Linked DNA regions of Macaca mulatta. The protein of the gene in region 3 interacts with the protein of the main gene of each other region in a biochemical or structural test. Links are inferred from orthologs where the notes say so. Each region holds a gene or a part of one and is shown on either strand. Other genes may lie near its edges. The genes, in order: PTPN1, BDNF and NTRK2.

Region 1 (3,574 bases), on a different chromosome or scaffold from region 3:
GCTCCCTGCGAGTCAAGGGGGCTGTTGGTGTACCACCTGCCTGGGATGCTCCAGGAGGGAGCCCTGGGTGGGGCGAGCCTCCAGACAGGTGCAGGCCCCCTCCCTCTGCGCCGCCAGCATGGTACTCTTTCACTCTCCTCAAAAAATGGCTTGTGGATTTGGTACTCAAAGTGGAAGGGGCAAAAAGTAAAAGGATGAGGGGTGAGACACACATCCGGGGAAGATGGGTTTTAGTGCAGAACCAACGTCCGTCCGGGGCCCGGCTCTCTACGCGGTCCGGCGGCCCTTACCTACCGCGGCATGCCTGCTAGTCGGGCGTGGGCTCTGCGGGCAGAGGCGGACAGTGGGTGGAGGTGGAGTGGAGGAGGGTCAGGCTATGTGTTGCTGTTGAACAGGAACTGGAATGAAACCAAACAGTTCAGATGAGCCCAGACCCGCACCCGCAGAGCTGTCGCCTCATGCACGACCCCGGCCACACCCCCCGGCAACTTCAACCTCCGAGGGAGCAAAGGGGGTTTTGGTTTTATTTTTTACAGTAGCCCCTTCTCCCCAAAAATCACCCCCAAGGAAAAAATTGTTTGCATTTTGCAAAACCATCTGATGTACTCAGATGGCCACCTGAAAAGAGGTAAAATATTTAAAACGATGAAAAAGTCTCAGGAGGTCATTTCCATGGCCAGAGCTCTGAGGCTAGTCCTCTCTTCCCCTTACTTAACAGCAACACACGTCTAACGTGTGGATTTCTGCTGAAATGGCACTTCTCCCAATGAGGTGGAGCCCACTCCTCTGAATTAACAGAGGGCTGACATGCTGAGGGCCACCCTGTGGTGACCTCTGACCCCCAGGGAGAGGCCTCGAGGACACTCTTTTATGGGAATGGGGTGATGAGGGCTGGTACATGAGCAAGATGGCTGTCACAGGAGGGAGCAATGGAGAAAGGACAACGGACACCCTGAGCAGAAGCAGAGGCAGGTTCTGTTTCTCTAGACGGCCTTGTGTTGCTGTTCTTACAGTGGGAAAGCTCAAAGACCCTGTCCTGGCTCAGTGTGCACACAGCTGAGGGGGGCTTGAGCGCAAGAGCGTCCTAACCCTCTTCTCCAAGGGAGTTTACATTCGTAAAAGTTTGGGATTCCTTCCCTGGGAAATCAAATATAAATTATATAGCTAATTACATCACCTAAGGGTACGAGAAAGTTTCATTAAGTGCCTAGTTTGTTTTTTTTCCAGAAATAACAAAAAGCTGCTTTTTATAAAGGTTAAAAACAACAATGTGTTGTAATTCTATTTTTTTCCAAAAACAAAGGAATAAAAAAAAGAGAGAGAGAGAGAGACAGACGTATTTGGCATTTTCTCTACTTACTCCTGAATAGGTTAAGGCCCTGAGATTAGACTCTTATATTCTTGGGACCAGAGGGCTCCTTAAAACCCCAGTGCATCGATCCTTAATTCTCGTTAGCCCTTCCACAGTTCCAGACTTTAAAAACCTTTGATCTGTTTCTTCTGAGACTGGCTCAGATGCGCCACAGAACTGAATCCTACCATCGGGCTAGCGGCCAGTGCTCTCTGCACACGAGCATCTCGCCAGCGCGTCTGTCAGTGGAAACATACCCTGTAGCAGAGGTACGCGCCGGCCGTGAGGACCGTAGCCACACACATGTTGACCAGGAAGGGCTTCCAGTGACTCAGTGCATGGTCCTCCTCCTTCTTAGGCGGTGACGGCTCCCCTTTGGCTAGGGAGGCAGCCTGGGCACCTCGAAGACTTCCCCCCACGACCCGACTTCTAACTTCAGTGTCTTGACTCATGCTGAGGAATCAGAGGGGCAGAGATGGTTTACTCACTTTGGAGAAAGTGAATGGCAAGGATGCTGCTATTGTGGCAGGAATTCTGGGAAAAAACAAGCCACGTGTAGACAGAGTAGGGTGATGTTAACCTTCCAGCGAGCCAGCCCCTCTTCTTGGCGGGAGGGCCAGGCCAGGGCCCACAACAGCCTGAAGTCCACTTGTCACCCCCTCCCCCAGGTACTTCAGACAGCACCCACAGCCAGGGTAGGGTTCACAAGGTGCCTGGGCGATTGGGCACTGTGAGGATTTATCTGGCTGGAGGATCCACTGGTGTACACACTATTGTATGACTTGCCTTCTCATTTACTGCAATTGCAATGTCTGGCCACATCAGTACACCCAGATCTCATTCTTTAAGAGCTATAGAATATCCCAACACCGGGAGAGAATGTAATTGATCAGGTCCCTGGTTATATCATTGGCCTGTCTCTAATTTTTCACTACTACAAGCAATGCGACAACAAACACAACTACCTATACACATCTTTACATGCTTATTTTGAGAGTCGCTGCAGGGTAAATTTCTCCATGTATACAACTGCTGGATCAAGTATGCACACGTCTTAAAACTTCCCTCCGGAAAGCAGGTACCAAGGGCACGGCCGGCAGTCATCTCCAGCTGGAACTAACACCTGCTCGTTCTGCAAGCTTTCTGTGCACGGCCACCTACTGCAAGCAGCCTTTCCTGACCACCTCAGTGGACACCTCTATCACATCACTGTCCATGGGCTCCCACCAAAATATGCTTTGGGTCTGCCTTTTTCCCAACAAGATGATCTAGAACACAGACCAGGGGACATGTTCTAGTTAACTCAGTACACCACACATATCAATAGGTACTCAATAATGGTTGTTAACCTGCAAGGAAGTAAAATGGGATTTAATCAAGACAACATAAAAAAGGTTACAGTCCCCAAAGGACCACTGTGGGGACTGAGGGCACATGGTCAAGCCTGGACATCACATTTCAGGACTGTCCGGAAGCCTGGGGGAGGGTGCTATCATCAGGGGGCAGAAAAATGCTACTCGGTGGCACCGAGCCCCTCATTCCAACAAGCACCACAAGGTGGCACTAGAAGCCCACAGAAGTGGCTCATGTCCTGCGGCCACCCTGTGCCCAATACCGGGCCTCCCGCAGTCAGGAGTGGAGGGGCTGTGGTCCACACGCCCTGTTCCCCAAGGATGCGGAAGCACTGCTTGCCAACAGGAGGCTGCGTCCACAGGGTTTCAGTACCAGTGTGTGTTTCTAGAACAGAAGGTCATCTCCCCTCAACCCAACAAGCCGGGACCCAATCATATTACCTTTCCATGCTGTAGGGTGCGGCATTTAAGGGGCTTCCTGTTTCTTCCTTGATGGGGCAGTCTTTATCCTCCTGGGTCTCATCCTTCACCCACTGGTGATTTGGGAAGAACTCCCTGCATTTCCCATTGTGTGGCTCCAGGATTCGTTTGGGTGGCCGGGGAGGTGGGGGGACGTGCTCGGGTGGGGGCTCCAGGTCCTCGTGGGAAAGCTCCTTCCACTGATCCTTGAAAGAGCAGCAAGAGGAAGTCCTATTAGTGTTCGCGTCGGCTGGCTTGTCAGGAAGTCCCCTTGCGTGAGCAGAGGTGGCGGCTTGGCGAGGGGCTCTCGGCCTCTCGGGGCTGCAGCCATGTACTTGGAAGATGAAATCTTTTGAAAATAAAGTCTCTTCTTCCTACCGATGCTCTCTGTGAGCACTTCAAAGGCACAAAG
Region 2 (4,050 bases), on a different chromosome or scaffold from region 3:
GACAACGACTTTATGGCGCTGGAATTCCAGTAATGGTGACCAACATGTTTTAAATTCCAGTAAAGGTTATGGTTACATTTCAACAAGTGTCTCTTTCCTTTCTCTTACCTCTCCTGCTCACCCAGAGGTAAATTTACCAAAAAACAAAAATAAAAAAATAAAAAGTCACAAGCAAGGCATTTGCAAAAATCAGAAAACACGAACAGGTGTTTAGTGATGGTTTTTAAAAGGTGCTGTTCCCAGGGTCAAAACTTTGTGGTGTAATTTCAACATGCTATGTTACCTATTATGTGTAATGTCTTGAATCGCTACATGTCATAACATCAGAAATCTCCAACCTAAAAATTATGTTGCATGAGGTAAGCATTGAAGGCACACACGTTCAGACAAATTAAATCTGTAATTATGGCTCAATAAATTAAAATGTAAAGACATATCAAATTGTAAGACCGAAATGGCTTTTGACCTTACAACAAACTCATATAAAAATAGATTTTTCGATAATAATAAAGGGGAGAGAGAGATTTTTCAGGATATTGAGCCAGTAGGGAGGGGTCTCATTTAATAGCATATCGCCTTTTATATGCAGTTAGAAAATCAACGTTCCCAATTGCATACTACTTTGCTTTAAAAGATAACTGTACTAGGAGGATTAATAAACACTCAGAAATATGCTTTTCTTCGCTTCTGGCCAAGAACATTCCTGCGTGCTTGTTGGAAAACGTTCTTTGGTTGCTACTGACATTGAGAGTAAGTGTAAGATACCTAGAGGGCCCTAAAATAAGATCCAAGAAGCCCTAACACACCACCAATCGAGGCTTATCAGAGCTCCCCCAGCGCGAGGAAAACTTGCATAGAAGCCAAACAAGAACAAGGAGTCAAAATCCACCGACGACGAGTCGCATGCCCTACCGAGCTGGAGTCAGCAGCACCATTCAACAAGTCCCTCCTACCAGCTCTCTAAGGGATCCCGCAAAACCTTCCCTTACCACTTCCCCACCCCCAGCCTCCCGCCCCCAGGAGCTGCTCTTGGCAGCATGGCCGGCAGAGGGCACCCTCTACCTTCCCTAGCTTCCTTCTCCGGGTCCCCTCCTCCTCCTTGCCTCCCCTCCACCTCGGTCCCTCATCCCTGCTCCACCCCCAACACAAAAACACTGCATCCTCCAGTTCACCCTCGCAGCCCCAAGGCTTCTTCCTTAGGGCTGCCCCTAGTCTGTAATCTCCCCTTCTTCTTGCCCGTCGGGCACAGAGCCCCCAATCCTCAGCTATTTCTTTCCAGGCGCAACTCACTCTCACCCATTCTTCCCGGCTCTGCATCCCCAGAGACTAACCCGAGTAAGGAATCCCCCACCTATATCCCACCTAGTCCCCGAAAGTCAAAACTCTAACTTCCTTGGAGGGCGCTTCAGAAGAGGGGCGCAGGCTGGGTAGAGATGTGGGTTCGGCCCGCCCGGGAGTCTCGCAGACCCTTTCAGTTCCGAGCGGTAGTAATTCCGCCTCCCAAGTTTTCTAAGCTACATTGGCTTCGGACTTGTAAATCCACTTCAGTCTCAACTCCTGGGGAGCAGGTAGCCGTGTGCAGTCCCGGGGACGACGCGGACTCAAGGCGCAAGCTTCCCTCCCACTCCCCCCACAGGTCGGCGCGGGGACCACCCAACCCCTGGAAGGATTCCTAGCCTAGCCTCAGCACCCTTCCCTCAGTCAGGGCCCCCGACAGCTCTGGCCCCCTAAGTCTCTCTCGACTCCTCCTGGGGTGGGGGAGGACTGCGAGGGATCCCCGGGTCGCCGTCTTGGCTCCCATCACGCAGCTCTGGGTCTCCTCCAGGCCTTCTGTCCTCTACTTCGTGCCTTCCCCGGGTCCCTTTTTCCCTGGTAGTGCCGGGTGACCTTCTGGGTTGTGGGATGGGGGAGAAAACTCCCCAGGAGCAACTCCAAATCCTCCCTTCTACCGGCGGGGAGGAAAGAAGGAGACTGGCCTCGTCCCACAACTTTGGGGGGTCCCCCAGTCAACTTTCTCCTGCGGACCGGCAGCTCCCGTACCAAGCCCCATGCCCGGCGCTTGCCTACCTCGGGGTCCACACAAAGCTCACGGGTCCCCGGCGGCGGAGTCACATCGTGGTTCCGATTCTGGCTCCAGCGCCCAGCCCGGGTCCTCGTCGCGGTGCTGCTCCCCGCCGGCCCCACAGCAGCGGTGGCAGCTGCATTCAAGTGTCTCATTAAAGCCCCCCGAGCAGGAGATGGGAGGCGCACCGGGCCGGTTCCTCCGTCCGGCCCGGGAGCCCGAGGCGCTACGGGGTGCGCGGGACAGCGAGCCGGCGGGTGCGCCCGGGCGCGGCGGCGGCAGCGGCTGGGACCCGGAGCTCCAGGCTGCGCCTTGCGCCCGGGTCAGACATTATTTAGCTCTTCGGTTGAGCTTCGATTGGTCAAACGGCGCCACCCCCCCGCCCCCCTCCCCCCGCTCGCCCGCGCTACCGATACCCGTTCGGGGCGGCTGCTTAAAGGGAACGCCGCGCCTTTTTCTCGCCCGGGGGACCGAGGGGCGCCTGGGACTCCCCGCTCCCCCAGGGCCTGTCCTCACGTCCTCCCCCAGGTCCCCGCGACATCATCCTGCGAGTCCTGCGCCCTCCCGGGGCGCCTTGGGCAGGACGCCCGCAGCTTCGAGGGGTGTTCCAGCCCCAGCCCCAGCCCCGGGGAACCCCGCGTCCCGCGCCCTCTGCAGAAACCCCGGCTGTGCGCGCTGGGGCGTGAGGGAGCGAGTGAGGATCGCACGCCCTGAGGTCTTGCTCCCCTAGCTTTCAACTCTCCCCTTCCTCCCCATCCCAGCACCTAAGTTCTCTGGGAATGGGCGTGCTTTTCCCGGGCCACAGACACACCTTCCCGCACCTTCCCGCACTACGGAGCTTGCGAACGCGAGCACACAATGAAATCGCACAGAGCATGGGGGCTATTGGTTTACTCCGCTGCCTTAAACACGCCGGCTTAAACAGAGTTCGCGCACTGACCTCTCTAGAGTTTGCCTAATAGGAATTCAATCAAGATAACAACAGCATTTTTTATTGATGAACGCCCCCAGATAACGTTACACCAAGTTACTTGTTCCAGCCAGGAAGCCCAGGCAATGACAGACCTCGCTAAAGCCACACGCTTTCTAGCAGACCAAACAGAAAAACGGAAAGAGAAAGAAAGAAAACAAACCCACCTTTTCAGACACTACTTGTCAAAGTAACCATCAAGGCAGCTGCTCTGGGAAAGACTTCGGCCCCAAAACTCCCAGACTCTATTATTTTTTCACGTTCTCTTTGCTTAAAGGGGGGAGGGGGCGCGAGTCTTTAGTGCCCGGTATGTACTCCTTCTGTTCTGCAGCAAAGAAGTTAAATTATTGATAGTGGAAATTGCATGGCGGAGGTAATACTCGCACCCCATCAGCTAGAAGCTCCATTTGATCTCGGCAGAGGCAGGAAGATTTCATGCTAGCTCGCCGGGGGGAGCGGCAGCGAGAGCAGCCCTCTCCGCGGTGAATGGGAAAGTGGGTGGGAGTCCACGAGAGGGCTCCACGGTGCCTTGACGTGCGCTGTCATATGATACCTCCGCTGCCTCGAAATAGACACTCTAGTGCACGAATTACCAGAATCAAAATTCAGCGCATTTAAAATGATACATCTTTTATTAGAAGAGTTCCGTTCCAGGGCATTGCATGCTTTTGCAGATGTTTTCACTTCCAGCCCCAGCAAACACACATATAAGCTAACCCTTTTAATAACGAACCAGGGCAGCAAAGATAAATAAAAAATCTTCTGCTTTAACCAGAGTGGGGGTAGGGGATTCGAGGGTGGGGGCAGAACTGGCTCAGTTAATCCTCCCCCGCCCTCCACCCCCACCACTGCCCGCAGCAAAAGAGCAAATAGTCTTTCGGGTTCTCATTTGCCTGTAGCCAAGACCCATGGAGAGAACTTATATGGCTAGGGTCCAGAGGACATTTTCAGTTATCCGTTTGATGAACTCTGTCAACCGTCTACCTGTGTTTCTGCTTTAAGGCTAAATTTTATTCTC
Region 3 (4,265 bases):
CTGTCACTTCCTTCAACAGATTCGGGAAAGTTAATTATTTTAACCTCTTTTCTAGTGAATATTAATGGAACTTCTAACACAACATACACACAGCACTTTATGAAACAAAAATGCCCAAAACTAAGTTAGTGCATGCGGAAAGCCTAAAGCACACCCAGCAGAGCTTTGAAATATAAAAAGCATAGTGAGTTCCTTCCCACGAGGAATACATATATAATCGGCATATGTATATCTATATTTAAAACTTATCCTAAAGTGTCACACTTCTCCTGCACTAGCAGTCCCAAGCCAGTGAAACAGACAGGTAACTGACAGATGACCCTGCCTTGCATCTCTTGTCTCTGACTTCTCCCCACTCTTGAGACAGCATTCACTTTCAGGACCTACCCATCTGGCCAGCCCGGGCCCTAGGGGCAAGGAGAAAAAAGAGGAAAAGCTCCAGGAACTCACATTTCGGTGATGTTCTCAGGATCTACACTGTTAGGTTCCAACCTTGGAAATGCCACGATGCCAGGAGAAGGGTCGCTGCACCAGATCCGAGAGGCACTGCATTTGCAGGACGTGGGACAAGCGAGAGCGGCCCTCCAGAAACCCACAACCAGCCAGCAGAAGCCCCAGAGCCGCGCCATGGCGGGTCCATGCCACCTTATCCAGGACGACATCCCTAGCAGCCAGTGCCAGCCCGAGTGAGTGTCCCCACGCTGCACCGGCCGGTTTCCCCGACCTGTGCGGGGAGGCCTTCCCCGCGCTTGCGGCTCTCTTGACTCCTCGGTGCTTGCTTGCTGCGGGCGCGCGGAGTCCAGCGTATCACAGGCTGAGCTGGTCCGGAGCGGAGCGTATTCCGGCAGGCGGCAGGGTTCACAGTGGCCCCGGCATCGTGAACCGCTTTACAGGGGGGTGCTACCGCCGCTCGGAGCTCCGCCGCGGCCGTTGCTGCATGGCCCGGGGCGCCGGGCACCGACCGGCGGCGCTCCCGGGACTCTCTGGGGTGCAGGCTCCTTATTAGACGCGAATGGGGGTCCGGTATGCACCTCGAGGCTGAGGACAAACAGATACGCGTAAGACTGAGTGTAGGACCCCCAACACCACTAATTGGAGCACTCTCCCTCTGCGCTCGCGTCATCCCCACCCCGATCCCAGCCGGGAGACTGTGGATGGATGAGTGCCCAGCTCCAGCCCAGGAATCAACTTGCCCCGCGATGGCACTGACGCCGCTGGAGCCACCAGTGTGCCCACTCTCTCTTCGAGCCTGAGGCCAAGGGAGGGGAGGTAGGGAAAGGGTCCCCGAGACAAGATTCCATGGTACAGGCCGGGCGAAGGACCCTTTAAAGGGGAATGCGGAGACTGCCGGCAGCTTTGGCTCCGCGACGGGGGCCCCGAATGATGCTGCAGAATCCGCCACAGCCGCTGGGTGCCGGTGGCGCGGGCAGGTGGCGCGGCACGTCCCACCTGGGGAGTAGCCGAGGCCGCCCCAGGGGGAGACAGGGAGGGCCGAGGCGACCGAGGGCACTGTCTGCGCTGCTCACCCGGGCTCCGGCGCCTCACGCCCGCCGGCGGCGCCTGGGTCCAGGATCCTGCTGCCGCCGGGGACTGAGCGCGTAGAGCGCGAGCGAAGCAGCCAGCGAGGCTCCTGCTCCAACCCAATTCCGGGAGCCGCCGCCGCCGCCTCTGCTACTGCTGGCGAAGTGACGTGAGGGCTGACGCAGAGCAGGGGCAGAAACTCCAGAAAATTAGTCTGAAATCCAAAAACACACACGCGCTCATACACACACAAACCCATAACACCCTCCAGACAAAAGCACCAGGGAGGGGAGGGGAATCTGGGGGCGAGCAGGGAGGAGGGAGGCATCAGTGCCACTGGCCAGAAGCAGACAGCAGCAGCATGTGGGAGTGCACACACGCGCGCACACACGCACGCACACACGCACACATCCTGGCCGTGTAGACACGCGCGCGCGTGCCTCTGTGTGTGTGTGTGTGTGTGAATTTACATCCAGGTACCTCTGAGATGAACCGTTCCTCCGTTTGACGCCTCCCGGTCCCTAATTCACACCACAGTCTCTTCTACAATCGCGGTAGAGGCTGGCTCGCTTTTTGAAATGGAAACCGTGCTTGGTTCAGCTCTGAAAAATGCGCTGATTCTTATTATAGGAATCCTCCCTCCCTTCTCCCTCCCCGCGTTCTCCTTTCCCACCCTGCCTAAAAGGGAGGGCAAGCTATCCTAAAAATAAATAAATGTTGTAAACACCAAAACGTGTTCTGCATTGGTAACCAAGGATCACCGCCCCCATTCCGGGCCACCTATTTGGGGATCGGTGGTTTTGGAGGGGCTTCCTGTTGGTGCTTTTGCAGAGGGAAGGGAGTCTCCAAACACAATTCTAGCTCTCTAAGTGGGTCTTCTTCCTGCCGTTTTCTGCCATCACACGCCCGGGAAATAGAGACATGTGAGGGGAAGGGAGCGCGCCTGATGCGTATTCTAAATGCTCGGTGGCCACCCTGGCCTGTCCGATGTGTGGCGCCGCGTCATTTTCTCTCATCCTTTAACCTGTCGGGATGTAGCCATTCCCATATCGTAGCTTCACTCCCCGCGATGCCCACCCCATGCAGGGCATCCCAAGCCCTTGCTCCCCTGCCGTACCTTGCGCGTGTTCATGTGTGCGCGGGTGTGCGCGAACGCGTGCCCTGCGCCCGCGCTGCCCGGAGCACGATATGCATCCAGCTACGAAGAAGCCAGGCGCGGGCAGAGCCTCGGGGTCTCACTAGGGACAAATTAGGCGATCCGGGAGGGTCGGGTGACAAACCGTAATTGTTCTGCGGGCGCAGTTAAATGACGGCTGCGGGGCATTCGCAAGCCTTGTCTGAGAATCCGTCTTCCCTTTTGCGGCTCGGAATCTGTTTTTCCGCAGTCATTTAAAAGCGAACTGGGAAAATGCACCGCAGTGCCTGACACTTCCGAGGGCTCTGGTGCCCCCGCGCGGGGAGAGAGCGCCCGGCACGCTCCGGAGCACCAGCCCACCGCCACGGTCGCGGCGGGCACAGCGCTGGGGGCGCGCTCTGGCGCCAGATGCGCAACCAGCGGCGCCCGACGCCTGCGCGTCCCTGCCCGGCCAGTGAGCGGCTTGCCTGGCCTCGCCGAAGTCCGGCCCGGGGAAAAAGGCGGCCAATCCTCCGCTCCAGAGAGAGCAATGGGTTGGAGTCTCGTTCAAAATATAGTAACAGTCACTGATCTACCCGCAGAGGCTGGGGATGGGAAGGATCGAGAAACCGAACCTTAGAGTGAATGCTCGGATCTAGGCCAAGCATTAAATATTACGAAGGGAACGTAAAACATCTAGTGGGGCTTTTTTGTACAGATCCTGGGCGCTGAGTGTTACCGCGGGAATTCTTGGACAGCACCCAAAAATCTTGCTGCAGGTCCGGAAGGCAAGGCTAGCAGGTCTGTCTCACCACTGTCGCTCGGCTGTAACACACTTTGAGTGGTGAACGGCCAGGCTGAAGTTTACTCCTCAGCAGGGCCTCTCTCGATTTTCTGCTAGGTGAGGACGTGCCAAGGAAGAGAAGCAAGGGCAAAAATGACCTGGTCTCAGACGCACGTAAAACTCCGCCTGTCTTGTCAGTGCCCCTTAAGTGGAGAAGCCCCTGAGGAACACTTGGGGAAGGAAGGAGTGTGTGTGTGCATAATCACCCACATCTCTCTCACACTCCCATACTCTCAGCCCATTTTCCTAAGAAAGGGCCCATTTGCGCCCTAGTGGCTGCAGCATGTCTCAATGCGGTATGGAGAATAGGCAGTTTTACGGTGGTTTGTACACCACAAGATTCCAATTATGTTGGAATATCTGTAGAATTTCTATTAGAGTAAATATATGCTACTATTATAGTTGAATTCTAAATATATTCCACTGACTGTCTCCCACTTAAAATTAGGATTTGCGGTCCTACTTCTAATCACCCTACTTCTGCTCTACTATTTCAACCATAGCAGTTTGTCTTTTGGACAGATCATTTACTTATCATATATATATTTTAAATTTCTCCCAGTAGAATGTACACTCCATGAAGGCAGGGATTTTTGTCTATTTTGTTCATTGATATATCTCAAGGACATAGTAGGTGTTAAAATATATGTGTATTTTTAATGAATAAATAAAATAAAGTTGAGATCTTACTTTCTTAACCTCTAATTCTGCAAGAACCTGGATTATTCCCCCAGACACGCTCCTTCTCACCTTCAAAATTTCAAATCTTCCTTGTGTTCCGAGTGC

The links.
Region 1: the proteins of NTRK2 (region 3) and PTPN1 form a complex in vitro, tested with the Homo sapiens proteins (2 studies listed by BioGRID, with this or other methods). The link is inferred for Macaca mulatta from reciprocal best matches to the Homo sapiens genes NTRK2 and PTPN1.
Region 2: the proteins of NTRK2 (region 3) and BDNF form a complex in vitro, tested with the Homo sapiens proteins (3 studies listed by BioGRID). The link is inferred for Macaca mulatta from reciprocal best matches to the Homo sapiens genes NTRK2 and BDNF.

The regions. Positions count from the first base shown.
Region 1 is NC_133415.1:103,436,758-103,440,331, reverse strand, and holds part of PTPN1 (tyrosine-protein phosphatase non-receptor type 1), read right to left. Parts: intron 3,369-3,574; coding exon 3,145-3,368; intron 1,805-3,144; coding exon 1,609-1,804; intron 399-1,608; coding exon 375-398; 3' UTR 1-374. UniProt on the Homo sapiens protein: Tyrosine-protein phosphatase which acts as a regulator of endoplasmic reticulum unfolded protein response. Mediates dephosphorylation of EIF2AK3/PERK; inactivating the protein kinase activity of EIF2AK3/PERK.
Region 2 is NC_133419.1:37,582,220-37,586,269, reverse strand, and holds the start of BDNF (neurotrophic factor BDNF precursor form), read right to left. Parts: upstream 2,844-4,050; 5' UTR 2,218-2,843; coding exon 2,068-2,217; intron 1-2,067. UniProt on the Homo sapiens protein: Important signaling molecule that activates signaling cascades downstream of NTRK2. During development, promotes the survival and differentiation of selected neuronal populations of the peripheral and central nervous systems.
Region 3 is NC_133420.1:115,605,289-115,609,553, reverse strand, and holds the start of NTRK2 (BDNF/NT-3 growth factors receptor precursor), read right to left. Parts: upstream 2,872-4,265; 5' UTR 2,639-2,871; intron 2,124-2,638; 5' UTR 2,002-2,123; intron 1,736-2,001; 5' UTR 1,527-1,735; intron 1,039-1,526; 5' UTR 663-1,038; coding exon 451-662; intron 1-450. UniProt on the Homo sapiens protein: Receptor tyrosine kinase involved in the development and the maturation of the central and the peripheral nervous systems through regulation of neuron survival, proliferation, migration, differentiation, and synapse formation and plasticity.